Linked DNA regions of Struthio camelus. The protein of the gene in region 1 interacts with the protein of each later gene in a biochemical or structural test. Links are inferred from orthologs where the notes say so. Each region holds a gene or a part of one and is shown in the gene's direction. Other genes may lie near its edges. The genes, in order: PATJ, PKP4, TJP3 and CLDN1.

Region 1 (8,153 bases):
AGACTGCACCTTTAAGCAGCTGTGCTGATTTGCAGCATATGTGAAAAAGGAACCTTAGCATTCGTGGCAAATCTTCAGTAGGGTAAGTACTAAGGTAAAGCAAAGACACAAACATAATTAAACAAACAAACAAGTGTCCAACATAGAGACAGATTTACGTATAAACATGTATATGTTATCATTGAACTATTTATAATGTTTATTAGAACATTAAGTACTGTGCAACATCTGTGCTGTGTTCTATCTCATTTCTCTTTTTTCTTCTGCCAACACATCATACTATTTTAGAAAAACTTCAGTGTGAAAATAAAGGCATACTATTACAAAACACAGTAATGTACTTACACGTTTCGACATGCAATAGGCTTGTAAAATCCAACTTCATTTCCAGTAAAGACTTTTTCTATGCCAAGGTGATCTTTACAGGTAATATTTGGTGCTGGCAGACATTGAACTGAGGACAGAAAAATTATTCAAATTTACGCAAAAATCAGTCTGGGATTGTGGCATTTTTCTAACAAGCCATATGACATAGTGAAGTAAACAAATGAAGTTATACTGTGCAACGGTCACGATACGCAACATTGTATACAAGGGCTTGTGTGACTGAATTGTTTAAAGCCAGACCTACGACTAACTTGTCTTTTTGCATGATACATACTAAGCAAAATATACAAGTCTAATTGCTCCCCTAATTCTGTTGCAATTTCTGGTTTTGTTCCATTCTGAATCAATGAAGGGTCTGAACTGGATACACAGAAAACATTTTCCTCTTGAGAAGAGTCGAGCATTGGAACAAGCTGCCCAAAGAGGTGGTGCAATCTCCATCCTTGGAGGTTTTCAAGATCTGACTGAACAAAGACTGAAGCAACCTCACGTGAATGCAGTGCTGACACTGCTCTGAGCAGAAGGTTGTTGGATGATAGGACTTCCTGGGGTCTCTTCTCACCTAAGCTATTCTGTAATTCTAATCTACGGCTTGACTCATAAAAGAACCAAAGTGGAAATCACAGAACAAAGTGACATCTGCCAGAAGTCTGCAATATATTACCAGAACATTAATCACCATCCAATGTTGAAATTGTTTCAAAGGGCAAAAATCCAATCCTTCCTCCACTTTCTATTACTAGCTTTCTATTACTGCCTTTCAGTACTTTTGAGTTCTATCTAACTTCCAGCCATGTTCAATATTTCTTTCCTGATTTTCCAGTAACACTTACAGGAAGACTACAAATGGATTTGGTTGGCTTTCTTTTTAAATATCAGTCCATACTGCATAGGGACAAAAAAAAAAATTTAGTATCAGCTAGTCAGTATCAGTAACACCTGAAAAACATGAGCCGTACCTAGACTACATGGATGTTACTGCTTAATGTGCCTAATCTGAGAGGATTATAAAAAGCCGCATTCTGTCTTAGAAAAAAAAATAAGGAAAGATAGCAAAAGATTATGTTATTTAGAAGAAACCCACAGCAGTCAAAACGTATTCAGAGAGTAAAGGCCACGTCTTTTCCTGTCAATATTATGCCAGTAAGCCTCCAAACGTGCTACCAAATGAGATTACTCAGATGCTTGGAATTAAACTCATATTTGCTTTGGTGATGGGACCTAGAAAAACGTTTAGAGATTGCTGTTCTTCAACTGTGATCTAGATTAACTTTTTATTACTTAGATAGTACTGAAAAGGAAGGTTCAGATACTTGTGGGGACCATTTAAAGACAGTTATATGCATAAAAACTCTACATTGACATAGAAAAGAATAAGCAATTAAGCAGCTTTCCTCACTCTGAAGCTTATCTCCTGTTCAAAAGCATACTGCATTAAATACAAACATCCACTAATTAGTTAGACACAGTTAACAAATTGAGTTGTGAAGCATCTCCAGCTACAGAATACTCTGACTGACTGCTTACAATCAGGGACAAGATGTCCAAGATCACAGAATCACAGAATGGTTGAGGTTGGAAGGGACCTCTGGAGATCATCTAGTCCAACCCTTCTGCTCAAGCAGCGTCCTCTAGAGCATATTGCCCAGGATCACATCCAGACGGGTTTTGAATATCTCCAGGGAAGGAGACTCCACTACCTCTCTGGGCAACCTGTTCCAATGCTCTGTCACCCTCACAGTGAAGAAGTTTTTTCTCAGGTTCAGATAAGGTAAAGGACTCAGTAACTTAAAGGAGGACCCATTTTGGATATTACTCTGAAAGGTATTTGAAAAAGCTTGACTACCTCGAGCATCTGAGTGAATAAAATTATTCATTGTTTATAGAAAGTGAAATAAGGGAGATGATAAGCATAGATGTGTATTTTGAGTGCACGTAAAGCAAAAGTGTTATACTATTAGCTAACCTGCAAGGACCATTTATTTCAAAGCCTGAGAACATCAGACAAGCTAAAAACAGGTAGTAAACCAAGTGACCAATTTAAGTATTCATCTGCTGTACTCAAATGAGCATCAGACTTCAAAATCAAAACATATGCAAGGGCTTTCAAAACAAGAGTCTAATGACACCACAAACTCCTGATAATGACATACACCATTTTTCCCTAAAAGAAATTAAAAAGGAAGATTTTGAGGCTCTTATGCCTCATGCCAATTCTTCTTCTAATAAGCATATGCAAAATCTAGTATGACAGAAATAAGTTGTTTTAATCACTGTAGCGAAGGATGGAGCTGAGAGGATATAACAGAAATTGCAGAGATTTACCAAAAACCTCACTTACAATTATACTAATGAAAGACAATGCATTTCTTCATTTTTAGTAAAGCATCCAATCTGCCCAAGTGTTTTAGGCTATCAGAATAATGCAATGACATTACTGATTCCACGTTTTAAAAAGATCATCTAGCAGATATACAAATGCATAAACTGAACACATTCTTGGAAAACGTTGTTACCGTCAATGTATGTCAGAGGTTGAAAATCCTTACCATATGCAGTGTGATTTGTACAGTTCATTGGTTCCTGCGTACTATTGTCTATTTTAGGATCATCACAAATATATGTTCAGCTAATTGAGGAAAACATTTTTCATATCAACCACTACTACAGGCTTAGTGTTAATTTATTCCACCCTCTTTAACCCCTGAGGATTTAAGATGTACCTTGATGTCAGTATTCCTTTCTACCCGCCCCCCAAAATACGAACAGCACGTTACTATACAGCAAATCTGCCAAATCAATTTAATACATAAATACATTGCATAAGCTTCACATTTAATTAGTGCTGCAGTCAGCACTACCTGAAAGCACTACTACATTTATCAGTCCTGGCCGCTGCATTCAAAGGCTGCAAGACAGCACAACTAATCTCGTCTTCTTCCCTTATCTCGCTATCAGAGCGCATTTAAATTGAGGTTATTTGGTTGAGAAAATTAGATCTCCAATAACATCCAAAACTCAAAAGCGAACATCTGAAAACGGGCACGCGAATGGCCAGGATTCGGGACTAGAATAAACCTGAGCAGCGACCAACTTGCAGAGGTCTCAAGTCCTGCGGCCAAGCAAAGCGGAGGACGAAGTTAACTTTTCCAGGGTTTGCTCTCCGGGCACCTTTGAGGCGCAGCTACGCCGACAGCTGCCGCCTGCTAGCAGCCCAGGCTTTCTCGGCGAGGCCTGACGCGCCCTGGCAGAGCCGGCAGCCCCTGACACCCGTTAACGTGGGCTGCCGAGGCAGACAGGCTCGATTTGTGCAAAGTCATTGCATCGCCCTACAGTGTCCTGAAAAATAAGAAGGGTGATGATGGTAGTGGGGGGTTGTCTCACATCCCGCAGGGTTTTACCGCTGAAAATCCGAGAGACACCCCAAAGAGACGCACGCCACCCCCAAAAATCAAGCTTAAAAAATCACCCCGCTCCATTTCCTAGCCGAAATCCCCCGGGGGGGAGGCGGGGGGGGGGGGCTCCTGAGGCTGTCTATGCCCTTTGAGGAGCAGCAAGAGACGCGCAGGACCCCCCACCCCCCCTCCATCTTCTCCTCCGAGGGGACCGGCTCCAGCCGGAGCGGTCCGCGCCCCCCCGCCCCGTCGCCATAGCAACCGGCCCGGCCGCCGCCTCCCAGCCCCCGGCCGCGCTCAGGATATTGCCCCAACCGCAGCTCGTCGCACTTGAGCGGCGCCTCCCGGCTCGCCGCTCCCTCCACGGTCGCACCCCCCGCGAACCACAGGAGAAGCAGGAACCGGGCCTCCGCCGCGCCTCTCCGCGCCGGCAGCCGCCCCGGCCGGGCGGCCATGATGGAAACGAGCCGCTCCCGTCAGCTGACTCGCCTGCCCCCGGCGGCGGCGGCGGCGGCGCTGCGGGGAGGAGCGGGCCGCGCCGCGGGACAGGCCGCGCTGCCCGCAGGGAAGGGCGGAGGGGGATTTTTTTATAGTTGTTCTCGGGTTTTTGACGTGTTTGGGCTTTTTTTTTCTTTTTTTTTCTCTTCTTGACCTGAGCAAACATGGCTCCTGAGGCACTCTCGGCAGCGTTGCAGGCAGACCTTGCCCCTTGCCAAGATGGCGCGTCTACGCGGCGGACGGGCTTGTGCCCGGGACAAAGATGGCCGCCGCCCGCGCCCAGCCGCTACGCGACGGCGCCGCAGCTGCCCTTACTCAAAATGGCCGCCCCGAAGAGCGTCGCTTCGGCGTGGGGGAGGAGGGGAGGAGGCGGGGGGCGCGTTAAGGCGCTCGGCGGCGCGGAGCTGCGGCCGCTCCGTGTGCGAGTCCCGGTCCGGTACGGCGGGGAGCCGAGTGCCCCAGCCCCGGGGGCGGCCCGCTGCCTGGAGCCGAGCGGCGGGCGAGCCTCGGCCCTCCCCGGGACCGGGGGCGGCCCCCGCTCGCCCCCGCCCCGGGCCCTGAGGCGGGAGGAGAGCTCGGCTAGGGGAGCTGCGCGAAGGCAGCGAAAAGAGATGAGCGCTCTTCCCCCCATCCTCCCCCCCCCCAAAAAAACCCCAAAAACCGAAGTAATAACTGTCAGTCAGGTCCCACCTAATCTCCACACGTAGCAAGTGCCCGTAAGTACCGCGTGTGTCGTCCAGGAGAGCGTTTAACAGAACTGAAGCAGGCAAGAGGTTGAGCAAGGCGGCCTGCAGGCAGCCTGCCGCCGCGGGCAGCCCCCCCCTCCGGCCCCCGGCCCGAAACCTGGCCGGGTGGTGGTGGTGGGGGGGGCTCCTTAGCTGCAGGCGCACAGCGGCCCTATGAAAAGAATATTTCTACCTTGAAATGGGTCCGATGGTGAAACGTGCTTCCGTAACCTTTGTTAATAAAGTACGAGTACTAAGTGCCCAGAGCAGACAAGCTTGATGTTCATTAACAGTTGCTCTTTGTAAGGTATTCTATAGGAATTGCCAACCTTCTCTCTAAGGTTATTTTACCTAGTGTCTTTCTAAGTATTGTTTTTTTTTCTTTAATCTAGTATTTGTTTTTCAGTGCATTAGTTTTCAGTTATAAACTGCTGGGAATCCTTGGCTGTTTATGAGACGAAGAGACCGTTTGAGTGGAAACAGAACCTGGAAAGGCAGCGCTACTGTTTCTGGTTTCAAATCTGCTCTAGAAGCACTTTCCGAAAAACACTTAGGGACCTAGAAACTGGAAAAGGTTGAAAGCCACTTCCAGATAGTATTTAAGAGAGTGTCATTGTTATTCGGCGTTTCTGAAAATCTTTTGGTTTTATAGTTGATTATTTTCATGAGCGAATGGTGACAAATGCATGAGTCTGTCAGTAGCAGCGAACAGTCTGCTACAGTCCCAGATAATCAGTAAAAATGCAGACCTAAAATACATGGATGGCTGTCAGAGATGTCTTTTCTCAGCCAGTGATGTGAAATATTCACAGCTTTTGAGAGACTTGTGTAAACTGAATTGGCAGTCTTAGAGTTCAGCTGACAAAGTATGCAAATCAAAATTGATATTCCTTTCGCCGGCTGGAAAAGAAAGGCCAGGGACAGAGTGCACTTCATAATGAACTCGGCCCTCCAAGATCACGATTGAGGCACGCTGATGAGAAGAGTGCTTCGCTCTTTTGTCTGCATCGCATCTCTCGGGTGGATAAATACAGGCCTTGCTCTTCATCACTGTCAAGAAAATTGTTGCTTCTCACAAGCACTCTGTTAATTAAAATTGAGGGTAAGGACCAGGAAGTTAGGCGTTTGGAATCTGAATCCTTAAAAAAGGAGGACAACATGCTGTATGTTCTTAGCATGTTATGTATTTTAGTACAACTGCTGGTGCTTCGTAAAACAGACTAAACGGGCATTGGGAGGAAGGAAAGTCAATTATCACTTCTGAGGTGAAATTCGTTTCCAAATCTCTTACAGTGCTTATCCTATGTAACTAGCAGGGCTGTGTGAGATCTGCTAGAAATGAGCTAGTAAAACAGAGTAGCAGAATAAAATTATTTTTGGCGGGGTTCATTTGATATTTTCAATAAATACATAACTGAAAGCAGACTAACATACATAGCACTCACAGTTCCCATTAACCTCAGCCAGCTTTGGGTGTTCAGTGTTTTGAGGCTGGCGGTAGAAACCTCTTTGCTTTTATTGCTTCTTCTTGAGTTGCCTCTGCAGACCGCTACTCCCTCACTCAAACTAACCAGAAAGGTTTCCTGGTCAACTCTCAGTATCTCTTAAGCCATAGATGATGTGTATTTCAGAGGGCTCTTTGGAACAGCACCGGCTGTGGTGAACGCTGCCTTACACAGTTGTGCGCTTTTGTTTTGGTGCTCTGTCGGGGTAGTATTGAATTACTTAGCTCCGTCCAAGCCTCAGTCCTGCTCGGGCTTGGGCCGTTCCCCTCTAGCTGGGGCGGCAGGGGCCTGCGCTCATGAGGCTGAGCAAAGCCTGCCTTACCTCCACGGGAAATTCGGTGTTCGGAGCCTCTGGTGTACGTACGGCACGTGGGTAGCCTGAATTCCTGCTTGCCCCTGATTTATTGCAGACAAATACAAATTAAAAACTTTCCTGGGTTTTCTAAACCTCCATTGCACCTTCAGTTGGGAGTTGGGCAGCTGTGTCGACAGGCATCTCGCTTAGGGCTGTGAATTAGAAATAAACTGGCATGGTAGAATCAGCTGAAAATGCACTTGGCTTTTAAGCGCTGCCTTTCAAAGGGCAGCGATCAGCAGAGCGCCCGTGGCCGGTCTGAATGTCCCATTCCCAGGAACAACGCGAGCTTCCACCCAGGGCCTTGGCCCGGCAGGTGCCTCCTCCCGCGCTCCACGTCCCCAGCGCGTCGAAGCGGCGCCTGGCACGTAAATATCGGGCCCCTTCTCTTCGCGATCCGTTTTCTGGGCCGTGGGATCTGCCCGGGTCACGTTTTGGATGTTATCCTCCGCCAAGGCTCACCCCTGCTTTTAGTTAGTCTGCAGCTGAAGGTGGGGTCCCCTCCCCTCGGCTCAGGGCAGCGGGGGGGGGGAGCAGAGGAGAGGGGCCGCGGGGCAGTGCTGTGCCATGCCCCAGCGAGCCCGGCTGCGTACCCCCGGGAGTCTGGTTGCCCCCCCCAGAGCCCGGCTGTACCCCCCCCCCGGGGAGCCTGGCTGTCCCCCTTTGGAGCCCGGTTGTTCCCCCCCCCCCCCAGAGCCCAGCTGTTTCCCCCCCGGGGAGGCCGGTTGTGTCCCCCCCGGGGGCCCAGCTGTCCCCCCCCCTCCCCCCGGAGCCCGGTTGTTCTCCCCCCCCCTCCGGGGAGGCCGGTTGTGTCCCCCCCGGGGGCCCAGCTGTCCCCCCCCTCCCCCCTCCCCCCGGTTGTTCTCCCCCCACCCCCGGGGAGGCCGGTTGTGTCCCCCCCGGGGGCCCAGCTGTCCCCCCCCCTCCCCCGGTTGTTCTCCCCCCACCCCCGGGGAGCCCGGTTGTCCCCCCCCCCCGGGAGGCCGGTTGTGTCCCCCCCGGGGGCCCAGCTGTCCCCCCCCCTCCCCCCGGTTGTTCTCCCCCCCCTCCGGGGAGGCCGGTTGTGTCCCCCCCGGGGGCCCAGCTGTCCCCCCCCCCCCGGTTGTTCTCCCCCCACCCCCAGGGAGCCCGGTTGTCCCCCCCCCCGGGAGGCCGGTTGTGTCCCCCCCGGGGGCCCAGCTGTCCCCCCTCCCCGGTTGTTCTCCCCCCCCCCCCTCCGGGGAGGCCGGTTGTGTCCCCCCCGGGGGCCCAGCTGTCCCCCCCCCTCCCCCCGGAGCCCGGTTGTTCT
Region 2 (7,525 bases), on another chromosome or scaffold:
GAAGTGCATTCTTTTCTGCTGTTGTCATCCCTGAGTGTATTTCCTGAGTAGTTATACTGATGTTTTCCTAGACTTGCACAGTACAAGCAACAGCAGGTTTTCTGTATTTTGAAAGTGGAAATCCCCTAAAACAGTAATTAATTCTTAACATTTTTTAAGGACTTCACATTGTGTACTTTTTCAACTACTTCATGTTATTGAGAGGATTTGCTTTTGGTAGTCATCTGTTTCAAAACCCTGATTTTGAATGTTAAATTAAAGCAGAATAAAACTAGCTGATTAAGGTCTTAACTTTTTCTGTTGGGACATAGATCTAAGTATAGATTTAAAAAAATAGATTTAAGTGTGCCAGTGTTGATTGCCAGACATATCTAAATCATAACTGTGACCATTTAATTGTTCTATTATCTGTAGTTATCAAAAAGCCTGAAAAAATAGTTTCCTTGAACTTGGAAGGGGGCAAAGCATCCCAGTATCGTATTTAGAAGAAGAAAGTATTAATAATCATAAATATTGTTTGATATTTGGTAAGAAGATAACAGTAACTTTTAAGTACCATCTTTTATTAGTATTTTGACTTTCCTGCAGTGATTTAATATTTCAGCTGTTCTCACTTTTTTTCCTTAGTCTTTGTTACAACCAAGCACAGGCAGGTCCAACAGACATTTTTGCAGAGCTTTGGTTGCTCTCCTCTACCTTTTCAATTGATCCAGCTTTGAAATGTCCAGCCCAAAGCTGGATATACTTCTTCAGCTAAGGAGATTGGGAAGATTGTGCATTTCTTGTAGAGGGAAATGTAAAATAAGCAGGAGTGGTAAATGAGGTCTCTTTCTTTGTCACAGAAAAGCATACTTTTGCAACTTCATGTTGCTTTCCACAGAGGTGCTGCCTTGCTGGTTGTCTTCTGTATTGCATTTGTTCCTTTGTGGTAGCATTTGTAGCCCGGATGAGCTTGGATATAGGCAAGGCAGGATTTGTACCTTGAGCTAACAGGAAATCAGTGAGCATTGCTGGGATGAACAGACAAGCTTTTGGGCATGTAAACTCTTTTTAAGGCCTAAAATAGGAGTAGCAATTTTCAAAGTTCAGTATGAGTTAGGACCAGTTGCTTATGAGCTTGGCATCTATTTTTAGATCTTTTCTCCTATTGTTCATGACCTCTGAATTCTGAACCTATCACTAAAGGTATCCATAATCCCCCAACCCCCAGCTGTCCTCTACAAAATGTTAATTGCCTTGCCTCTCGTCTGTGCTATCACTGGTAACTATGGCTGGAGAACGCTAAGCTCATGGCAGAACCCCTCCCGATGCCTCCTTTCAATGCAAGTGAACTACTGCTTTGAGTACAGCTTTCTAACAGTTATTCCTTTCTCCCCCTCCCTTTTCCCCCCTGGGATTTCTCACCTGTACTGTGTAGGTAACTTTTTAAGGCAGGACACAGCAGGAGATTGGTAGTGTCTAGTTTGGGACCACTTCAGTGATACAGCTTACCCCACATCCCTCAAACATTGCACTGGCAAAACGGGGGGAGCAAATTGCAGTCCAGAGGTCCAGAGAGAACTCGTTAGCTGTCGTTTAAGCATTTGTTCTTATCTATAAATATAATAATTTGGAGATTGTTTGTATAATGCGTTTTTTTCAACATACTACATGACAAAATTGAGGTGCATTTTTATAAATGCATATAAAGTAGGTTTGGTTTTATAATGCTACCAGTTAAAAAAATATCTGCATCTACAGGTAGTGTGTATTGTATCTAGCAATAACGGATAGAGTAGTGCCGCAGTAACAATTTTAAAGGACTGAGAGTAAATATAAGTAGAGATTGAAAAGCTCCTGCAGTCATTGTTCTGCTTGGTAGTATTTTTATCTTTGCTTACAGTTATTCTCAATCAAACTCCGTTTGCTTGTTTATAAGAGTTTTCAGATGGGAGTATCAGTTTGGAGCTTGTATTACGAGTATCTGGTAAAAGCATACATTCTGCTTAGCATACATTCACTACAGTTACTCAGCTGTTACAGTTTTTAAATTATTTTGTCATGTGATATTCATTGTGAATGTCATCATACCCTGAGTTAACTGAGAATACTCTAACACCAAACTAAGGATTAATACTTCTAAAGGATAAATAATAGATATGAATGTCTTTGTCACTTGATCGTCTGGAAAATTAAAGTCTTTGTGATGCTTGCTATACTTTTCTCTCCCTCTCAGTCCGTACTGTGATAAGACCAAACATTTATTGCTATAAATGTGCTTACTAGTCTACAGATTTGTTTTTGAACACTGTGCTCCAATGAGGCTTTTTTTTTTAATGGCAGTGAATTAAAATATGTAGTCAGAAGAGAGAAACACAGATTTGGAATGGTACAAAGGAAAAGATTCATATTTGGGGGCTGTCAGTTATGTATCCTTTATGGCACTTGAGGCTTGTGGTACTTCATGCGTTTGTGAAGCATGAATGCTCTCCAGACACCCTTCAGATGACAAAGATCCTTCTTTTTTAAGGCGAGCTACAAACAGTGCCTCAGGCCTTGGAGGTTATGATCATAAGTATGCGCTTATTCAAAGTGGCCTTCTTGCTATACCTGTCTGATCTCTTCTTTTGAATGGTTAGTTTGAAAGCTATAAAATTACTAATCCTGTGAGCATGTTACAACTGGATTTTTGTGGATGTAGAATCTTGCCTGCTCACTAGAGTGGAGTAAAAGTATGTTGCCATAGGCCAAAAAAAACGCCTGCCGCCTCTTATGAGCTGTAACAAAAAATAGAAATAAATTTACCCAAAGACTAGGGTAATTGTTTTTAACATTTTAAAAAGCATATAGCACCAGAAGCCTTTTGAACTTCAATGTGCTATTATATATACATACCCACATGTATATACACATATATATTAAAAAAAAATTAAAAGGAAAAGGAATGAGGAGGAGACTAGTAAGAGAGTTAAATGCATCTCCCATATTTCTCAAGCAGTGCATCTGTTACATTTAGATCATTTTTTTGGTGCTGAGGAACTCAGCTTGCGCCACTGTGCAGTCGTTTTTTATGCTGTCGTTATGGAAGTCCATTCCTTCCCTGTTTTCATCAAATAATTCAGTCCAGGAACATGTTCTTTGTTTTACACTCATCTTACAATAACACTTGATTCCCAGCAGCTTGTATACCACAGTAAATTTCCAGAAAGCACTATATGGTATGGTATGTATAAAACTTCTGCACTAATGATCTCCATAAAGAAAAGTTGTATTTTAATGGAATGGTTAGCCTATAGTGTGATATTTGTAGTACCTTGGCCCTTACTACATCAGGAAATTTTAAAACTATTTTTCATGTAAATGTTTGAATCATCTTTCACATAATCCATTTCTAAATGCTTGTGTTTTCTTTGCAAGTGAATAAATTGTCATCTGCTGTCTTTTCATCTAAACAAATAACAATTGGCTGATAAATGTAATATGGAATTTATTTTAGTTCAATTATGCAGTTGCACCAAGCTTGAGAATATGAATCACTGTCTAGTTTGTAGGCAAGCAACACTGGATGCAACTCTCATAGCAGGTTGGAGCTAATAGGAGCTACTCATAACTAGAAGTGTACTGACATGTCTGTGAACTAACTCATAAAGTCAGATAAATTTTAATTAGGTTTTCATCTAAAAACTGCACAAATGTAGTAAGTCTTGTTTTGTTTTCAACTTTTACATATGCTGTGAAGGATGAAAACAGAAGAATCTTTGACCAAGCACTGAAACGTGCCTTGTTGCTTAAGCATATGAATTTAAATGAACAACTTAATTGTATAATAAATAACACATCAATGTCCCTGCAAAAGTTAGGTTTAGTTTATTGGAGCTTTCTTCTGCTGTACTAATGAGTACAGCTCTGCTTTTCAGTGATTTGCTTTTGTTGCTTGAGTTAATCTTGTGGCTAGATAAATACGAGGATTTTTAGTGATGAGACATTGCTCATTGTTTTTCTCATGTTTCTCTTATTCAGTATATACAGTCTATCCTATCCTGGTTGACAGTGTTCATAAGAGTTATATTACCTCTTTAGCTGCAACTAATTGGGGGCTTCTGCTACCTGAGAAAACTGCTTCAGGTCAGCCCTGTGAGACTCCAAAACAGGGAACTCAGGGAAGGAGAAAATTTGGTGAACCGTCTCTGTAAGTGGAGCAAGAGGAATATGAAAGAATGCAAGCTGTGGACCATTCTTGCTGTCTGGAAGACAGCAAGAAAGGTCTGAGTTCTCCTGCCCACACCACAAGGAGAGAAATTACTAAACTCTGGGGAGACTGTTGAATATCACTGAGAGTGTAACAGGAGCAGCAATGAAAGGTGAGGAATAGAAACTAGCAAGAACAAGGAGAATTAAAGCATTATTTCTTACACCCAGTTTAGTGATTTGTCTTATTTTTCCCTTACTCCTCCATTGTATGTTCTCATTCCTTCCTTCCATCAGTGATTGTATGGATGCAAGATGCTTTGGTTCAGAAAATTATCCTCCTCCTTCCCTCTCCCAAAACAACCAACCAACCAGCCAACCAAAAGAACAAAAAAAAAGTGAGCATAGTGTCAAATGAGTTCACTGAACTTTTTGCTTTGCAGCTGTTTGACCTTTTGATCAGACACAAGAGGTTATCACCCATTTTTGCAGCCTACAACTTCACTGTGGGCTTAGAGGACCCATGGCAGTGTCAGAACTGGCAAACTAGGCGGTGGTGGCTCTGCCCCACCATCTCTGCTAGGGTTGGCAAAAACCACGCTGCTTTGCTGCAGAATGGGAGATCTGGGAGTTTTTACTCCCCAAGTGGAGGAGGGCTAGGAGTTGCTGCTGTGGTAGTGGAGGCAATAGGTATCCTCTGAACAGTGTAAGTGCTGTGTAAACCAGGTTTATTTCAGCAAACGTACGCAGTTGCCAAAAGAGGTGGTCTCTGCCATAAACTGGTTGGTTTGAAAACTAACTCTCTTTTGTGGCTTGGTGTGCTCTGATCCAACTTACTGTGATTTCATGAAACCATTTGAGTGAGTCTCAGTAGTAGAGAGGAGTAGAAAGCCACTTTTTTCGAATTAGTATGGAGTATTTCAGACTACAGACTTCAAATTGAAAGGCCTTACTTTCCTTTTCCTGCACACTTGCATCTAGCTTGAAAATGTAAATGCAGGCCAATATAGAGCTAGATTGTCACTGCTTCTGTTCTTTTATCTTCTAGTTTTAAATAGAGAATTTCAAAATTCAGAATTGGTGCTAAGAATTTTCTCAGATATATACTATAATATGAAGTGTTTAACAATTTTCTGGAAAATGATTTAAACACTTTACAAATATATTGATTATTTTGATTCAAGACTGATATCTACAGAAAATACTGGCAAATATTTACTGTTCTCCTCAAGTCTGCTGATAATCTCTCCTCAAAGTTTAAAAGCATCTCAGGTTATGCTTTTGAGCTATACTTAAAAAAAACAAACAAACAAAAAAACCCTACATCATTCACAGATCTGCAACATCCACCAAAAGACCTACCTCGATACAGTTAAATCCTTCCGTTCCTGTTCATTCTTTGCTATAGTGGAGAACTTAAAATCTGTAAACTCTTCTCTCAAATCCTGTCATTTTAAGAACCAGTTATGAGTCAGGTATGCTGAAATGGGTTTTACAAAGCAGTAGAACAGTAAAATATGTTTCTTGAAATCTCTCTGGCCATAATGAGAACTTGGTATTTCTAATGAGCAGACACGATCTGAGAATTAACGGAGCTGGAATACAGGAATGCATGCATCCCTGTATGTTGTGTATAGTTTTTCAGAGATTATCTTGCATAAACTTGGATTTTGTACAATGAAAAGAATGACTTCTTTCCATCCGAATTTCCTTTTATACTGGATGTTTTTGTGCTTATTTTGAAGCCATTGCAATGAAGACTCTTTAGTGGATCAATCTTGAAGCCAAATGCATTTCCTGTTATCCCACTATCTGAAATAAGATTATTATGGACAAATATTCTGTGGGCTGCATTAACACAGAGTTATTACTTTCTGTTGTATTTAAGTAAAGTTGAACAAAGTCATACAAACACTGCAATGTGAATGAAGTCGTATAGAAGCAATGCAGTCTATTTCCCATCCTATTTCTAGCTATGGAATTGGGAAAAAGATAAGTAAATTGTGCTGGAACTAACTAAATTCCATTACTCTTCCTTCCCCGCTTTGTTTTAATTCTGCATAATATATTAATGTTCCTTGTTTGGCCTTTTTGTTTTACGAGTCTTGCTCATTATCACTGATCTTCGTTCATCCTCTGGGTAGCAATGCTGTCAGGTTGTTCAGTTATACAGGCCTTCATTTTATATATTAAAAAAAAAAAACCCAAAAAACAAAAAAGACTGTAGGATGACTGTAAGGAGGATGTTATAAGAACAAATTTAATTCTTACTCGAGCCTGTTTAGGAAAACGTGTATCTGCCTATTAAGGCATGAATAGCTGAGTTCATATGGGGTCTATCCAGTAATTCTAAACACCCGTCTTAAATTCTGTTTCTTCAGACAGGCAGAAATCTAAGTTAAAGTAGACCTTTTTCTGACCAGCAAGAAATAAAAATTCGAATTTGTTTAGGGTTTTTGATGCTATTTATTTATTTATTTATTTGATCAGGCATGGGCACTGGAAGAACAAAATATTTGCCAATTGAAATACGATAATGAAATGTTTCAGCTCTAGTACTTCTAGAGAAAATGAATTTCATTGCTGAAGTCAAGTGTGACAACTTCAGTAAAATGAAGAGGGAGGATGTCAGCTGTACTTCAGAATAAAGATACACGTCTTTGAGTGTTACTCAAATATGAAGAGTGACAAAGCAAAAAATCAAAGATTCTTGGAAGATGAGCAGAATTGCTATCTCACCCAGAAATGTTTTGTTTCCTGCCAGTGTTTAAAATTAGGCGGCACTGCCTTGAGAGTGTCAGTGGTGTTATAGACTCTGCGCAGTCAAAGGGGAATATATAGGCGTTATAAATAACTTACTTGGGTGAAAGAAGGCTATAACAATTACAAGGCAGTTGATTCTCCTGGAATTCAAGACAGAATTATTTCTGTTAGGTAAGTATCTCCGTGTCAAGTGAAAAGAGTGTAGCCTACTTTAACTATTAATGAACACTTAAATCCGTGCAGGGCCTGTGTAATACTGAAAGGGAACAGAAGGAGGTTTCGAAGTTTAGGTCTGCGAATGCACAAGCTAGAATGAAGTCCGGTGTGTCAGGAAGTGTTTCACTGCCTGCTGGGCTGTTAATTTGGGCTCTCTTGAACGTTTCCAGTAGACTGCTACTGTGTCTCACTGTTTCAGTGTTGTGAAGTTCTCGTGATGCTGGCTTGTTTTTTTTCCTTCGAGTGACTGTCCCCTCATGCAGTCAGAGTTTTAGATGAAAGGCTGTAGCAGATCTTCTGTCTCCATCTCCTTAGGTTCTGACTACGTTGGAGTTTTTTTATTGGAAATATAATTCTTGGTGTTTATAGCATGGACTTT
Region 3 (7,763 bases), on another chromosome or scaffold:
TAAAAGGGAAGCTTCCAGCCCCTCTATCCTCGAGGACCTCCAGGCTGCACCCAGGTAGCAGGATGGTGATGCTCTTTTCTCATTCAACCATTTCTGGGGATAGGGTGCCCCAGCGTGAATAATTTCAGTGTGTACCACTTTCACTCCTAGCACAGTGGCTGAACACCACTGAAATTCCCATCAAGTACACTGCTCCTTGCACCAAAACTGGCAAATAATCCTTCAAACTCCCTGCAGTTTCTTCCCACAGCAAGAAGGAACACATTCAGGAGGAAGGCACAGGGACCACTTACATATATAAGATTTTGAAACTCCTATTTCAACCACAGTAGTTACAAAACTTAAAAATCTCAAAGCCAGGTTCCCAAAAATGGACGAATTAAGACAGTGTGTTTATGAACAAAGTAGTACTGCTAGACTACATGAAGTTTTTCTCCCCAAAAAACCATTAGGAGACCTCCAAAAGCTCCCTTAGGAAGACTCTCCAGGCCTTACATCATCCCACTGTTGGGGAGGTTTCCCAGACTTTCCTCTCCTCCACTCAGGAACTTCCATTTTACTCCTGTAACAGACTAACTGGCTCTCTTCTTTTCTTGATGTTTACACCGTGGCATTTTCCTGCATGCTCTTCGGAAGGTCTTTGCTGACCTGGCCAGACTGGATTAACCCTGTCAGGTTCATTTAGCAAGAGTGCAACATAAAGTCGTCCTCGCTCTTTGGCAAAGAGCCAGAAAGCAGATGTTTAGCTAGGCTAGTAATTCGTTATCAATGGCACAAGCATTAAGGTGAGCACTGGGCACCAGTGTAGGTGGATCATGAGCACTTCACCACCACCACGGCCTTCACCGCTACTCCAAATAGCATCAAAGACATCAGCACTGTGTGCACTAGCCACAACAAACAAAACTTAGGAGAGCTGTCAGCTTAGAAGCAGCCAACAAAACAGGATGAAGTTCAGCACAAATCCCCTCTGCTCCTGGGCATATCATTTTGGCATGTATTATTCCCATCTGCTGCAACAAAGACCTCAGAGTGCATAAACGCACTCTGTCAGCGGGCAGTCCTGACCTCCGAACTGCAGCACAGACCTCCCCACGAAGCTGTAGCTGTGCCTTCACACACAATTCACCGAGGAACACCTCTAGTTGCATCAGGTTTTGTTTTCTTTCAGAAAATACTCATTAGTTGTCTTGCATGTTGTCCCTGGCCCTCCTGGGAGCTCCAGTTGCAAGCACAGCTGGGGCCAAGTGACACAATTTGGACACTACATAACTGAGGAGTAAGCAACTTGACTCAAAAAAAAAATCAAAGCATCAGTGAGATTATTGGCTCCATTTCATCTTTTTACTATCCATGTAAGACAGCCTACAGGTTCCCTGAATCCAGATTTACTTGCAAAGAGAAGAAAATACATACTCATTGCTTTAAGCCCGTCTGAGCAACAGTCTCCACAGCCACTTTAACTTGTCCTGAGCATCAAACAAGAACCCTCTACTCCCACAAAACTAGAAAGGTAACAAAGAGATCAGAAGCAGAAACAATATTTTTATTGCTCATTGGCAAGAAGCTCTCTTTCCACTCCCTTCCCTTAGCACTGCAAACTGCAAGTCTGCTGGCCATACAACACAGCACTCAGAGCACACTCCCGGAAAAGAGGTCTGAACGGTGGGTGGGGGAGCACCGTGAGCAGCCTTGGGAAAAGCCAGCCGGATGCAGCTGTCCCCTCCATTTTCCTTGCAGCACTGAGCAACTGAACCAGAAAGCCCGGGGACAGCTCGCTGCTTGTCTAAATCTCAGCACCTTTCAAAGAAATTATAGGTTGCATCCGGCTCTCCCCAAATGCAGCAGATGACATCTCTGAAATAATCACGCTTTCCACTGTAATTTGTTGGGTTTTTGAAAATCTAACGATTCTAATTTAAAGCCCCAAAGACAACGAGACCACTGTCACAACACAAGCAAAACCCAGCTATCTCGTGAAATGCTCTGAATAAACTTCACGCTCAGACAGGTGCTTGGGAGCTTTGAATTAGGCCCACAATGAAACTCGTCAACCTAACAACAGAGCAGGGCTGTATCATCACGCACAAACCCAAAGCTAGCAATTTTGAGGTTGTTAATGAACTATAAATTAGCCAGCAAAGGCAGAGGCAGGTGCACTTGCACAGCCCCACAGATCTGATCTTGCCAACCGAGAAACCCAAATTCTTTTAATACTGCCAGCAATATATCATGAGGCTTGTTTTCAGGCTCGCTCACTCTCTCTTACAAATGGCCTTCCTGATCTCGCCGCTGCCGAGACGAAGCCTGACGCGGCAGCGATGCCACCCTCTTGCTACTGGAGAGGACCCCTGGGGCTGAGCAGGGCCATGTGGGAGGAAGCGCTGGCAGGGGCTCGGTAACTTCTGCAGGCGTTAGAGCAAGGAACGGCCTCCCAAGCATCCTCTACCTGCCCCTGGACAACCACCACCCTCCCAGGCTCACACTTTCACCAGGAAAACGGGGAATATCCCGGGAGCAATTCCCAGAGAAAATACGCTCCCTGCAGGAAGACAGCTTCGAGGGTGGGAACCCGGGATGCCCACCCCTTGACGACCTTTGGAAGTCAGTGCTCCAGCACGGGGGCAACCAGCTCCCAGCACTGCCAGGGCATTGCACAGGCAGGCACCACCCCGGATCTGCCGGGCTGCGGACAGATCTGTGTGGCGGGAGGGAGCTGGCACCAGCATGGCAGCACGGACAGTGGTCGGAGCGGGGAGAAGCCCTGGAGCCATCGGTGCTGCTGCTCTCTTGGCACCACCTTTCCCAATGAGATCCGGGCGAGCGGGTGGATCTCGGGAGACGCTGAGGGGGTCACAGCCATCCTGCCCCAGCAAGCGCTGGCTCCCGGGCCCCGGTGCAAGCATGGGGACAGAAGGCAGCCCTGCACCTTGCCCTGCCACAGGCCCCAGGGCCCCCCGGGCAGCACCCGTAGGCAGGGCCTCCCCCGGGAGCCAGCACAGGGCAGCCCTGGTCGCGCGGGGCCAGGAAACAGCCCGGGCCTGAGGCCACCGGGGGGGGGGCACCGCCACAGCGGGCCGGCCGGGGGGGGGGAACAGGAGGGGGGGGCGCTGCCACAGCGGGCCGGCCGGGGGGGGGGAACAGGAGGGGGGGGCGCTGCCACAGCGGGCCGGCCGGGGGGGGGGAACAGGAGGGGGGGGCACCGCCACAGCGGGCCGGCCGGCCGGGGGGGGGAACAGGATGGGGGGGGCACCGCCACAGCGGGCCGGCCGGGGGGGGGAACAGGAGGGGGGGGCACCGCCACAGCGGGCCGGCCGGGGGGGGGAACAGGAGGGGGGGGCACCGCCACAGCGGGCCGGCCGGGGGGGGGGAACAGGAGGGGGGGGCACCGCCACAGCGGGCCGGCCGGCCGGGGGGGGGAACAGGAGGGGGGGGGGGCACCGCCACAGCGGGCCGGCCGGCCGGGGGGGGGGAACAGGATGGGGGGGGCACCGCCACAGCGGGCCGGCCGGCCGGGGGGGGGGGGGACAGGAGGGGGGGGCGCCGCCACAGCGGGCCGGCCGGCCGGGGGGGGGGGGGGGACAGGAGGGGGGGGCGCCGCCACAGCGGGCCGGCCGGCCGGGGGGGGGGGGGGGACAGGAGGGGGGGGCGCCGCCACAGCGGGCCGGCCGGCCGGGGGGACGCACTCCAGGGGGGCCCTGCTGGGCAGATCCACTCCGGGTGCGGGGGGGGGGGGACGACCCGCGGGGCCCGGCGGGCGGTACCACTCAGGGCCCCGGGGGGACACGCCAGGGCCAGGCCGGGCCGGGCGCGGCTGCCGGGCGCCGACGACGCACCGGAGGAGGGACACGCCGGGGCCCGGCCGGGCGGCGCCGTCCCGCGGGCGCCGGGCAGCGGGTGCCGAGCCCGGGCGGTGCTTCCCCAACCCCCGCGCCGGGCGGCCCCGCAGCCGTTTACCTCCTGCCGTGTCCAGTCCCCCCCCGCCAGCCTCCGGGGTGATGGCACCAGCGCCCTCAACGGCCGAGCCCTCCGCCTCCTCCGGCACCTCCAGCTCCATAGCCGCCGAGAAGGGCAGGCGGGGCGGGCCCGCCCGGCCGCCGCCGCGCTCGCTCCCCGGCTCCGGCCGCCACCGGCCGCCGCCGCCGCTGAGGAGACTGGGAACCGCGCCGGGCCGCAGATACCATAGAGCGCCGGAGGTACCGCGGCTAGACACACCCAGCGCTCCGCAGAGCGGAAATGGCGGGAGAGGCTTCCGTCGGAATCAAGCGCGGCGTAGGGCTGGATGTCGCAGTAACCCGCGGGGCGCCGGCGCGGGACCCCGTTGTGACTGGAAGGCGCCGAGAGAGAAACGGGGCCTCGCGAGTCAGAGAGCGGGGGAGAGAGCAACCTCTCCTCTGTCCGCTCTAGGGGGCAGGAGGCACCGCGGAGCCGCGAGGCTCGCGGGGGCGGAGCGTGCCGGTTGCCATGGCAGCGCGCGGGGCGCCGCGGTGGCGGGGGGGCAGGTCCCGGTGCCCGCCGCCTCCCGGGGCCCGGGCCGGCCTCCCCGCCGAGGCCCGGCGGCGGCTCCGCGGCGCCATCTAGCGGCAGAGCACCCGCCGGGCTGGGGGCCCTCGGCGGCGCCTCGCAGGCCTGCGCGACCCCGGGGCAGCGGGGCGCTCGGCGCCGGCACGCCCGGCACGTCCGGCACGCGGCCTCGTGCGCGGCTCTGGCCGGGCCGGCCTCGCCGTGCCCTTAGGCGCTGAGAAGGGGCCCGCCGTCTCGCCTTCCTCGCTGGCGCCTTGCGGTGGGAGCTGCAGGCGAACCCGCAGGACCCGGGCCGGGCTCTGCCGAAGCGCGGCGGGGATGGAGGAGCCCCGACCGGCCGGGAGCTTGGCAGCTCGGCCTCGAGGGCTGCGGAGGAGAGCAGGTCGGCTCAGAGCTCCTGCTCCGCCGACTGCCTGTTCGGCTGATCGGTCCCTTAACGCCATCAGGCGCCGGTCCCCTGGGCGCGAAGTGGGACCGGTGGAGCAGCACGTCCCTGTCACAGGCTTCGGGAATCCCGGAGAGGAGCACATCGGTGTGTCTGCTGGCAGCTCTCCTCCCTTTGCTCTGGGAGAGAGGGGAGTGTTTTCACCATCTGCTTTAAAATAATTGCATCCCCGTCCCCAGCAAACCCTGTGGTTCCCCGAGGGGTGTGGCTGAGATTTGTGGGGACCCTGTAACACCAGTGACACAGATTGGCCTGAGGGCTCAGGAGACAGAGACAAAGCACAGGAGCTGTGTCCTGCGCCAAGCTCTGCCTCACAAAGGAGCAGCCTGGATGGGAAACAGCTTGGTAGTAAAGTGCACTCCCAGGACAGCACTTAACGCAGCCGAGTAAGGTGGTGATGAACATTAATGAGGCTGCTCAGCAGTCTGCAGCGTCGCCATCCTGCCCGGGGCCCTGGAGGTGATCCCGGCTGTGTCCCCTGCGAGGGAGGGGAGCAGATGCCCTGCAGCGTGGATGAGGAGGCTGGGACCTGTGTGCTTCCTTGCCTGGGTCTGGGGAGCAGCATCTGGCTGGACTGGAGCTGCGCCATCCTCCTTGGTGTTTGCATGGTGCTTCTGAAAGAAGGAGCGGTTTTATGCTGATTTGACGAGCTGTGGTAAAATTGGTGGCTCCACGACCTGAACAGGGCTGTGTCCATGTCTCTGGCCCTGGGATGGAAGCTGGTTCCTGGGGGATTCAGGAGGAACTGGTCCCCCCACAGCACCCATGCACGTGGCTTTGATTATCCTCTGTGGTCTCGATACAGACCACGGCCAGAAGCAGCAGGCCGGACCAAGAACCAATGCACGAACCTGATTTCAGTCACCAAAGCTGCAGGAAACCGACCCAGGATGAAGAGGAATGGCTTTGAGCTGGTACTCAGGTGGGGCAGGGCAGGGTGGCAGAGTGAAAGGGAAGGGGGAGCTACAGGGAAGGGGGAATAAGGGTGAAGGCAGCCTCCATCAGCAGGGAGGGAATGGTCACTTTTTCCCCACAGGCCCCCAGGACTGGGTGTCCCAGGTGACCTACCAGCTGGTCACTAACTCTGTCCCCCTGAACTGGTCTGATCCCCCTCTTGGGTGGCCAGGTGAAGCCATTTGGTCTCCAGGGACTGCCAGGAACTTGGTGCTGCCACCAAGGAGGCTCCACTGGGAGGATCTGGACATTTGGAGCGTCCAAGTGGCACAGAGACCCACCACCTCCTTCGAGAGGGCCAGGCCAGGATGGGAGAAGGACCTGCTGCACCCACGATACTGCAGTCCCCAGTGTCCTGTACAGCTCGCCCCTGTCGGGATCAAGAGGGGCTATGGCAATGCTGCCTGGCCCGGGTGGGGAGTGAGCGCCGTGGCCGAGCTGCCAGCACTGGGAGGAACGGGGGCAGTCACCCGTGACTCCCTCCATGCCTGTGAAGCTGCCTAGGGGGCTCCTTTCCTCCTGCTCTTTCCCTCTTGGCAGGCAGCGTCTGGCCCGCAAAGGGTTACGCAAAGCACCCTGGAGTGAAACCGCTGTCACCAGCCTGGGAGCTTGGCTCCTTCCTGGTCCGATCCCGGCAGGGCTGAGTCGTGACTTGGTGAGTGCCTAATCCTGTCCCATGGGCTCTGCCTGCCCCTGTTTGCGGTTTGCAGATAGGGACAGGGACGGGGACCCAGCCTGCTTTCGCCTGGGGAGTTCTCTGTGGTTCATCCTTCCCCACCAGCCTCAGGAGGGACAGGGTGGCTCTGGGACCCTCCTGGAGCCCTGCCCCGATTGCAGGGACTGAGCTGTGGGAAATATCTGGGGGACTTGAGCAGGGCAAGGAGCAGAGCCCTTTTGGGGGTGACTTTGAAAAGGAGCAGTGTCTCTGTCAGCCGCCTGGCTCACCCTGGGCTTGGGGATACAGGGCTGGAGCTGGGTCCCTGCTGACGCAGCTCCACACGTCAAGGGCTGGAGGATGTGCCTCTGTTCTACTGATTTACACCCCAGCTGGGTCAGACCTTCATGGGACCCCTTCCAGAGCGGAGAGGCCCCGGGGGAGGTCAGGATCAGCTTGTGGGTTGCAGGTGGGGTTGGGTTAGTGGACATGGTGGGCAACTGTTAGAGAAACCAGTGATTCCATTCCTGCGTGGCTGGGACCGCATGGGGGACGAGCGGTTTCACTTGCAGCGGAACTACCTGAGCTGAGATGTGGGGAACGCTTGCTACTGACCCGCATAGTCCCAGAGGCCGAGGACCCCCTTTGTGGGGCTTGGGGAACAGCATATGTGTGGTAGGGATCGCCATGGGGCAAGGATGGGGTGAGCTGCCTGCGTCCCTCTACAATAAATAACCCCCTCACCTGCTGTGTGCTGGCATGTCACCTACAACGCAGCGATGCTGCACCCTGGGGAGTGCCAGCGGGCAAGGGTGCGTTGCTGGCGGTGTCACCCCGGGCTGGACAAAGCCCCGAATCGGGGCCTCACAGTGGGAGGACTTGCCCTGGCACAGCCTGGGGCTTTTTTGGCCGGGAGGTGCCGGCCATGGCGTGTGCGTGGGGTGGAGCGGGCTGCATGCAGGGATCGTGTCGGAGAGAGACGGCGTGCTGGGTGAGTCAGGCTGGGCTGTGACCAGCACGGCCCAGATACTGCCTCTCCTGGTGGGGCCATTTCGGTGCAGGCTGGTTTCTGTTGGGAAACCGGCCGAGCCGGCTCCTCTGGCTGCCGGCCGCGGCCTTTGGCTCTGAGCAGACCCGGCGTTGTGGCCCCAGGTGAAACCGGGGGCAGGACTGGGACTTGCAGGC
Region 4 (8,370 bases), on another chromosome or scaffold:
AAGAGTTAAGCTTTCTTTGCGCTGCTGTGCTTTGCAGCCATGCAAGCTGTGATATTTGGCTACCTCTGCTGCTACCATGGTCAAACACTACATCCGCCTCTTGCTGTAGACTCTGGTTTGGACACATTTTCACACAATCCCTGGCTAATCCCAAGGACCATTTGCAAGAGTCTCCCATCCTTGTAACAGCTGACTAAAGTCAAAACAGCAGTGTTGCCTGCAAAACAATGCTCAAAGCCAAAGGTTTAGCAGGAGTAGTTTTCCTGGATGGATGGGAGAGTGAGAAAGAAAAAGAGAGGAGAAAAGTCAGTTGGGAGATATACAGCAAAGATATTTTAAGTCCTTTCTAGGCAATGCAAACCAGAACTAAATCAATGTGGTCCATCCAGTCTGCCCTCTTTTCCTGGTATAGAACTTTTAGGACATCAAATGAACTAGCAAGATGTAGGGTTCAGAAGAAACAAAATGCCATACTTTTCCATGAAATGCAAAGTTGATTTGTAAAAGTCCCTGCTGCAGAACACTGCAGGTGCCAGAAGTTTCAAAAAACAGACAGACAAATTTATGGAGAAAAAATCCAATGAGGAAAATTGAATTAAAAAGCACCATCACTGGCTCAGGATGTCCCTTAGACATGGATCAGGGCAGACCACAAACCCATTCTGGGAAAGCATCACTATGTTTGTGTTATTCCTTGGCGCCACTCTTGGCTGCCATCGGACACAGCAGGATGGGCTGTTGTATGGCCATAGCCATTCTCATTTTCTGGTCCAGAGGTGGAGCTTGTGTCTTTGCTTTGAAACCCGGCTCATGCAACTGTGCCTGCTTTGTGCACCTAGTCATTGTAGCTGGACAGAGGAGCAGACAGGGGTGTCCTTTCTTGATTCCAGCAGATCCCCTGTAGTAGACTCTCCATTACTGGCGATCTTCAAATCAGGAAGAGATGTTTCCCTCTAATGTATCTAACGCAAGGATGAATTCAGGGCAGCCGCAGGGCCAGTATTACGGAATGCCAGGACAGAGGCTCACACATGAGCACGTGTTCTCTGAACACAGGCATTGCACAGTGACACCTTCCTGAAGAAATGCCCGAGAGAAAAGGAAAACAAGCTGCTCTCCTGCAAGTCCTGGCAGGTGTTAAAGCTTGTTTTTGCCAGAAGAGCAAACAGGTATCGCTAACTACCCAAAGAGCACAGATCCCTGCTTAGCATGAAGGTGAGGTTGCTGCTCTGACTAACAACACCCAAAGGGGCAACATGACCAGGCTGTTAAACATTTGCTTAGTGTAGACAGATGCAGCAACGACTGTAACACATAAGGAAAATCTCTGTGAACTATTAGAGGAGTTTATTTACCTCAACGCTATAAAATCAGAGTTTGATTCCAATAACTGTCTATATGCTTGTGCTTTAGCATATTCTCACTTTATCCTGCTTTTGTAAAGGAAGAAAAGAGGAGGACTAATATGCTTAGCTAAGAACAGGCCAGTCACTAAAGACTGTCAGTATTGGGGTCCCTCCAGCCTGGGGAATACAGAAGAGATTGCTACATCTTGGACAAAAACAGGTCTTTCAGCTGAGACTAATGATTTGAAGCAACGGTATTTTCCCCAAAAGTCAGGTAGAAAAATTTGGCACTAGCACATAAAAACTCTAAGGGACTTCCAGAGAAGAAAGAACCCCAGCAGAGGAGAAAAGGCAGTGATTATTGCATAAAGAGGGGTTTGTTTTGCCCAATAAACTAGTGAAGATCACTGGAAGCAAACAGAGAAGATATTTCAAGTGTCAAAGAAAAGAAGGAACCCCAAAAGAGAAGACTTGTTGGTCACAGGAATGCTGTAAAATTACCAACAAATTCCAGAGCACTGAGAACACTGAAGAGTGATGAAGGAAAAAAAGCAGAGCTTCAATGTTTTATCTTGATCTGTAAATTCTTTGTGATGTCCACAGAAAGAATTGCTCAGTTTTGAAGTCTTTCATGAAACATGAGAGTAATAAGCATCAAGTTTAAACTGTCACTGGAAAGCAAAATGTAGATGGGGTGTTCATAATGCTGGGACTCCGACATGGAGTGTTTTTACTGATTATCATGGTGTTCAGTGGTCGAAGAAACATGAGCAATGGACTACAAGCTCTTATTTCCACAAGGAAGGAAGCAGACCTGTGCCCAGAAACAGGCTACATAGGCACAGAGAAGAGCCTGTGTTGCAGCCAACTTACACTATGGGAAGTCCAAGAGCACTTGGATATATCTCAGCATGCCAGTGGGGCATGCAGTTCAGCACAGGTTAATGCATGTCATATTCTACATTTATTCCTTCACAAGTCCTCATCACTACAGTAGCTCGAGAGCATGCACCCAGAAGTGAAAGTACTCTCGGTTGTCAGCCCAGCATGAGCTCTGGCACCAGTGAAACCTTGCTGCACATCAAGCCCTTCTAGGAAGGATCCAAAGTTGATGTGTATGATACCTGCAAAATTAGCCCCAGACAAATGGGATTTTGAGTGGGCTGGCTCAGGGTGAGTTCACACAGCCATTTCTCCAAGTGGGAGCGCAGTAGAAGTACTGTGCTCTGGAGCCTTCCTAAGGCCAGTACATGAGCACAGCCTTACATCTACTTTGATGCAAGGCCAGCCTGCCGTGCTTACAGCCCATTAACACTGCCTGGTGCAGCACTCATTGGGGACGGAGGAGCGATGGGACTGCTGAACAGCCCCTCAGTAACACAGCATCCATCCCCAGGCAGCTGCAGACTCCAATCCCACGGAAAGAACCCCTTGCAGAATAAGGCTGTCTTTAGTCAAAGCTCTCTGACCTTCTGAAAGGGGAAGAAACTGAAGATGTGTGTTGTCTTAGTATATGCCCAAGCAGTCAGATTCACACCACCAGGACATATCCCAAGACTAACTTTTCCCAAGGCCAAAGTGAGCCTGGGTTGCGGTGCCTCCCAGAGCCAGCAGCACGGACAGAATGCTACATCATGGAGCTCGTGCATACGTGTATGCTACATGCATCTCCTGCTCTCAAGCCCACTCTTGATCTAGCAGCACAGATTCCTTCCCAGTACAAGTGCAGCCAGATTGCTGCCACCCAGGACCCCTCCCCTTGCTTTCCTAAAAGGTTCACTAGGAAATTCAAGTCCTTCCCACACAAAACAGCTGTTACCCTTCCTTTGGCTGCTCAGGGCCTGCAGCCAAAGGATCTAAACCTTCTAAAAGTATCTTTGGGACTTGCACACCTGAAGCCAGGTTCAGAGCTGATCTCACACTGCAGAAGTCAGCAAGGAGCTGCCTGCTCATCTAGGGGGTGGTGTAAGGGTCAGGAGCGGGGGTGAGTCAGTTCATGCTAAAGCACCTGGGAACACAGTCTACTCCTTCGCAGATAGACATTATTGGACCAATATGATTGGTCACACATCAATGGTCAAATGCAGACACTCCTAACCCTGCTCTCGTTGGGTTAGAATGGGTTTTTGTCATCCCTCCTCTTCAGGCAGGGAAGGCTTTTCCCAGGGATCAACCCTAATAGCCAGCATCACTCTGGTTTTTCTACCCCTTGTACAGAAATCTTGGTGAATATGCACAGTGATGCATCTGTTTCATCTCTGCTTTTCCAGAGAAAGCTTTGCTTCTTTCGTCTTCTTCAGCTTCCCAAACCTGTAAAACTGCGGCACACAGATACCAAGTAAAGCACCGTTTCTACAGTTGCAGCCCCATAGCTACCTAATGTCTTTACTTGCAAGTGAGAAAAAATATGCATTCACCAGGGACATAACTGGAAGTATTTGCTACCATGTAACTAGCAAAGATTGATCTCCTCATTAGCAGTGCAGATGTCCAGAAGTTGGGGATCAGCAGCTGAAAGTGTTTCCAGAGCAAACTAGACTTGCTCTGTCTCTCTCAGTGTGTTTAGATTGCAGTTGGTTTTCTCCCCTTTGACACCCCCCCCCCCATCATTGCACAGTACCGGTTAGGTAATCACAAGTCTATTCATTTGCCTGTTGGCAAATCTCAGGAAGCAGTTCCAGCAAAACCCCCTAAGTCATCAGAATGCAATAAACCACAGTGTCAAAACAATACAACCCCATCCCCACCTTCAGCAAGGCCTTTATCAGTAATTACCGCCTGGAATTACACCAGACACCCACTGAATGTCCCCTCCATCTACTTTGCAGTAGGAAAGGAAAGCAGCACCACCCCGGCCATGCCATGAGCTCCCTGGGCCCTCTGATGCAGACAGTATTTCCTCACTCCAGCTCTTCTGAGTCCAGATCTGTCAATGTTCAAATATTCAGATAGAAGAAAGGGAAACTGAAGTAACGGGACAGATACATGACTGAGAAGAAGAACAGCTCTCTTCCTGGTCTGTAACCAACCCTTTTATTCAATAAACTGGGGCAAGTCACTTGGCTCACTGAAGCATCCAAAATGCTCAATCTCTCCTTTAACAGAGACCCAGTAATGCTAAGAGGTGCAGCACATGGTCCTTATTAAAATGATAGCCTCGAAGTTTGGATTTATGGAAGCATTTGTACATGGATGATCAGTGTTTGCTCAGCAGCCTCTGAAACTCCTTTTAAATGCTAATAATTTCCCATTACTTCTGTATGGTTTCCTTCACAGGAGTTTATACCCAAGTGTGCTCCATGCTGGAGAAACCAGGCAGGGTGTGTGCCCAGTGGGAAAGGCCCCCTGCCCTAGCCGTGTGGTGGGGAAGGCCTCCCCTCCCTGCACTGCTGGAGGTAGGTCACACAGACACGAGCAGGACTGACACAATCTGGTTTCTACCTTTGCTGTTTGCTCCATTGGCACATGCAACGTTTCTTCACCAAAAAGGCCTGTTTATTGTCTGGCTGTTAAAGGACGGCAACAGGCAGCAAGACCCAAGGAACATAATTTCGGGTCCCTGCTCTCAGGCCCCTAGCCCTAGAAGTGGGGAGAACCCTGAGCACAACCAGAGGTGCCAAAGTGTCCAGAGATGCTAAAGCAGCGCCGGCGTGCCGTGGCAGGCACCTGCGGCCAGTCCCCTGAGCCGCTTCCCCACGGGCACTGCTGGGAAGAGGGTGCCGCCGAGCGCTGTGGGTCCTGGCGAAACCCTGAAGGATGGGGGGCACTCTCTGCCCCGCGGGAAGCGGAGAACATTTTGCTGCCCTTCTCCCCCCTCCCCCGACGCTGCAGCCGCCACCGCTGGCAGTCCCGGAAGAAGCGGGGGGTGGGGGTGGGGGGCCGCCGCGCCCCGGCTCCCGTGGTCCCCGGCCCCGCCGCACCGCGGGGGCGGCCCGGGCCCGGCCCGTCGGGGGAGCCCCGCGGGGCGGGGCGGGGGCGCGGCCGCCAGGGGGCGCCCTTTGCGCGGCCTTAAAAGGGGCGCGGGGCGGTGCGCGGCTGCCACTGCGCTGCGCGGAGTTGGTCGCGCTGCCCTGCTCGCTCCGCATCGCCCCTCCGCCGGCGGCGGCGCCCCCCGCGCTCCGCCACCCCCGCCGCGGCCCGGCCCCGTGCAGCCATGGCCAGCGGAGGCCTGCAGCTCCTGGGCTTCGTGCTGGCCTTCCTGGGCTGGATAGGCATCATCATCAGCACGGCCATGCCCCAGTGGAAGATGGCATCCTACGCGGGAGACAACATAGTCACTGCCCAAGCGCTCTACGAGGGGCTCTGGATGTCGTGCGCCATGCAGAGCACGGGGCAGATCCAGTGCAAGGTGTACGACTCGCTGCTCAAGCTGGAGAGTAAGTCGAGGCAGGGGCGAGGGGTGCCCGTTCCGTCCGGGTCACCCTGCTGCCCATTGCGGCTCAGGCTGGGGGTGTCCGTCCTGTCGGGACTTGGACGGGGCTCTGGTCCCGTCGCAACGGGACTGGGTGTATGGGGGTTTGGGTGCCGATCCCCGTCAGAGAGTCTTCTGCACCTCCCATGGTGCCTATTCTGTTGGGGGTACAGGGGGGGGTTGGTCGAACTGGGGTGTCTGTCCCGTTGGGGTTGGGTGTGCTGGAGAGCCGTCCTGCAGGCTTCTGGTCTGCCCTGGCAGCTGTGGGTGAGCTGGGACCCGGTCCTGCAAAGTGATGAGACAGCAACGGTGACTGTTGCTCCCCAGTGACATCTCCACGGAGGGCAGATCCTGTCCCTAGTGCTGTTAAGTGAAGTGCTGTGATTGTGAGCAAGTGCTTGTAGGTGTAGAAAATGTCTTTCTCTGGGTATGGTTTAGCAGTAAAGTAATATTCATAAAACGGTGCTGAAATTTTTCTAGCAAGGATCCTTTTCTTCTGCATTTGTCTATTTTGATCTTACTGTTAGTCTTGTGTAATTTTATTCTCTTAGTAGATCACTGTTACCCCTTTGGGGCTTTTCAGCAAAGGGTTGGCAGGTGAGCTGGATTCTAGCCCAGGTAAGGATAGCTGGTAGTTTTTAGGCAAATCATTACTTCAGGGTAGTTTGTCTTTACATCAGCCTGAGATGGCAAAAGGTGTCTCTGGCATGTGAGAACTGTCACTTGCCCTGCTGGGGTACCACTCTGGGTGGTTACTCTGAGCTGCAACCCTAGTGAAGGTTGTTTCTATCCTGTTTGTCTGCTTTTCTGCACTGCTCTCTTGGTAGACTCTCACAAGGTCTGAGTGCTGAAACAGCTTTTCAGACTATGACTACCCTGACACTCAGTTAAACAAACAAACAAAAAACTTAGGCCTGTCCCAATATCTTTCCCTACATCCCAGGTCTCATAAGACTATGCCAGAGAGGTGAATGTGTCCTGGGACTCCTTCATCCTTCTCTAGCCATAATTAATAAAAGAATAATTGCCCTTTTGGTCACCTTCTCTTTTTCTAAAGGAATGAGCATGCAGTTTCCCGTAAACTGTAAAGAGGGACCATTGGGAGTATCCCCAAGTTAGAGATTGCCACCATCCCTTCCTGTGTGTCACGCTAGCGAAGCTGAACACCCTGAGCCCCACCTTCCTTGCTGTTCCATGTCAGTCGTGCTCCTTGCTCCCCTGCCTTGAACACCCATAGGCTTTGCAGCTGGTGTAGGTGCAAATTACTCCCTTCAGGAGTGTGATGCACTCACTTAGCACTAACAGCGTGCGAGGCTGTGGGTAATCAGGGCTGGGCTAAGCACACAGGGTGTTTTGAGTAGTAATTATGTATAAGACCAGTTTCAAGCCTTTTATCTCTGCATTGGGGGGTGGGTGGGAGGATACAGCAGGGCTGAAGAATCTCCAGCGACCCATGGCTCACTTGTGAAAGGTAAATTTGCCTGAGGGGCTCTCTGGCTGTAGCCTATTGTTGTGTAAATTAAACCTGCCTGCAGAATCAAATGCAAAGCTCTGCCGGACAAATTCCTAAAAACCTGACAAAAGACCTCCCGACCTACCCCATTCATCTCTAAGGGCTAAATAACAGCTGCTCCCCTCACCTTTGTTCTGCAAACAGGCCCTTCCAAGGCCACAGGGGAGTTGTGAAGTGCTGGTGACCGAAGTTGAGCTATTAGCGGCCTTGTATCCTGTTACAGAGCCCCAAGCCCTATGGAGCATATTTGCCTGGAAATTTTCAGGCAGCCCAAGAAACACGAGTATCTCTGTGGATGTCTTTTTCCTTGAAGTCAGCAAGGCGTGGCTAAAAAACACCTTTTTCTTTTGGTACTCCAGCTTTCTCAGGTTGTGCCCTTCCCACTCACAAGCAGGGCATGTCTACTGACATAGTATCTTCTCTGACTGTTTTCCCTGGCATACTTCAGGGTCCTACAGGCAGTGAGAAGCTTGGATAATGACAACCAGCATTGCTGTTTTGGTTGGTGGGAGGCAATCACCCAATTCAGCAGCCACACCCTGGAATGGATGCAGCTGTGCAATAAGAAGAGTTTTCATGTCATTTATGTCACAGGGAAGACAGTACAACAGAAACTTCTAAACTGCGATGCTTTCCCTGCCAAGGTTACACATGCCCTAACTGCTCCAGGCCACGTGGCAGGGTCTCAGGCAGTGATGGGAGAAGCTCAGATCCTGCAATTTTACCTCCATAGAGTGGGCTGAGTGTCCTCACACCTACAGTAGTTTCAAGTCATGGGAATGATGGAAAGTTTTGCCAGGAAGCTTTTGGATGTCTGGTAGCTATTGCCATTTCTTCAGATGCATCCATGTTTGGCTGCTTTGACTGATGCTGCACATCAGAGACTGGGCTGGCATAAGCTGACATGCCCTGTTAGTGACTGAGGGGCCTTCAGCTTCCAGCATGGCCATGTTGCTGGAGTGAGACCATGCTGATGTTCTTCCAGCAGCTGCATTCAGCTAAGGGCTTAAGCTGGCAAAATGCAGCCTTCCTATTATCCGAATAGGAGCACGTCCCAGACTGACATATGTGAAAAGCTGTGCATGGCTGCATGTAGGCGT

Evidence for each region.
Region 2: the proteins of PATJ (region 1) and PKP4 interact in a test that uses a peptide from one of them, tested with the Homo sapiens proteins (2 studies listed by IntAct, with this or other methods). The link is inferred for Struthio camelus from reciprocal best matches to the Homo sapiens genes PATJ and PKP4.
Region 3: the proteins of PATJ (region 1) and TJP3 form a complex in vitro, tested with the Homo sapiens proteins (2 studies listed by BioGRID and IntAct, with this or other methods). The link is inferred for Struthio camelus from reciprocal best matches to the Homo sapiens genes PATJ and TJP3.
Region 4: the proteins of PATJ (region 1) and CLDN1 form a complex in vitro, tested with the Homo sapiens proteins (2 studies listed by BioGRID and IntAct, with this or other methods). The link is inferred for Struthio camelus from reciprocal best matches to the Homo sapiens genes PATJ and CLDN1.

The regions. Positions count from the first base shown.
Region 1 is NC_090949.1:35,182,074-35,190,226, forward strand, and holds the start of PATJ (inaD-like protein), read left to right. Parts: upstream 1-4,832; 5' UTR 4,833-4,996; intron 4,997-8,153. Other genes in the region: TM2D1 (TM2 domain-containing protein 1), read right to left, coding at 346-454, 2,937-3,006, 4,085-4,237.
Region 2 is NC_090947.1:46,342,764-46,350,288, forward strand, and holds the start of PKP4 (plakophilin-4), read left to right. Parts: upstream 1-4,318; 5' UTR 4,319-4,333; coding exon 4,334-4,340; intron 4,341-7,525. UniProt on the Homo sapiens protein: Plays a role as a regulator of Rho activity during cytokinesis. May play a role in junctional plaques.
Region 3 is NC_090967.1:411,584-419,346, forward strand, and holds the start of TJP3 (tight junction protein ZO-3), read left to right. Parts: upstream 1-4,715; 5' UTR 4,716-5,664; coding exon 5,665-5,891; intron 5,892-6,463; coding exon 6,464-6,578; intron 6,579-7,562; exon of another isoform or gene 7,563-7,763. Other genes in the region: PIP5K1C (phosphatidylinositol 4-phosphate 5-kinase type-1 gamma), read right to left, coding at 3,958-4,057. UniProt on the Homo sapiens protein: TJP1, TJP2, and TJP3 are closely related scaffolding proteins that link tight junction (TJ) transmembrane proteins such as claudins, junctional adhesion molecules, and occludin to the actin cytoskeleton.
Region 4 is NC_090950.1:19,952,082-19,960,451, forward strand, and holds the start of CLDN1 (claudin-1), read left to right. Parts: upstream 1-5,323; 5' UTR 5,324-5,499; coding exon 5,500-5,722; intron 5,723-8,370.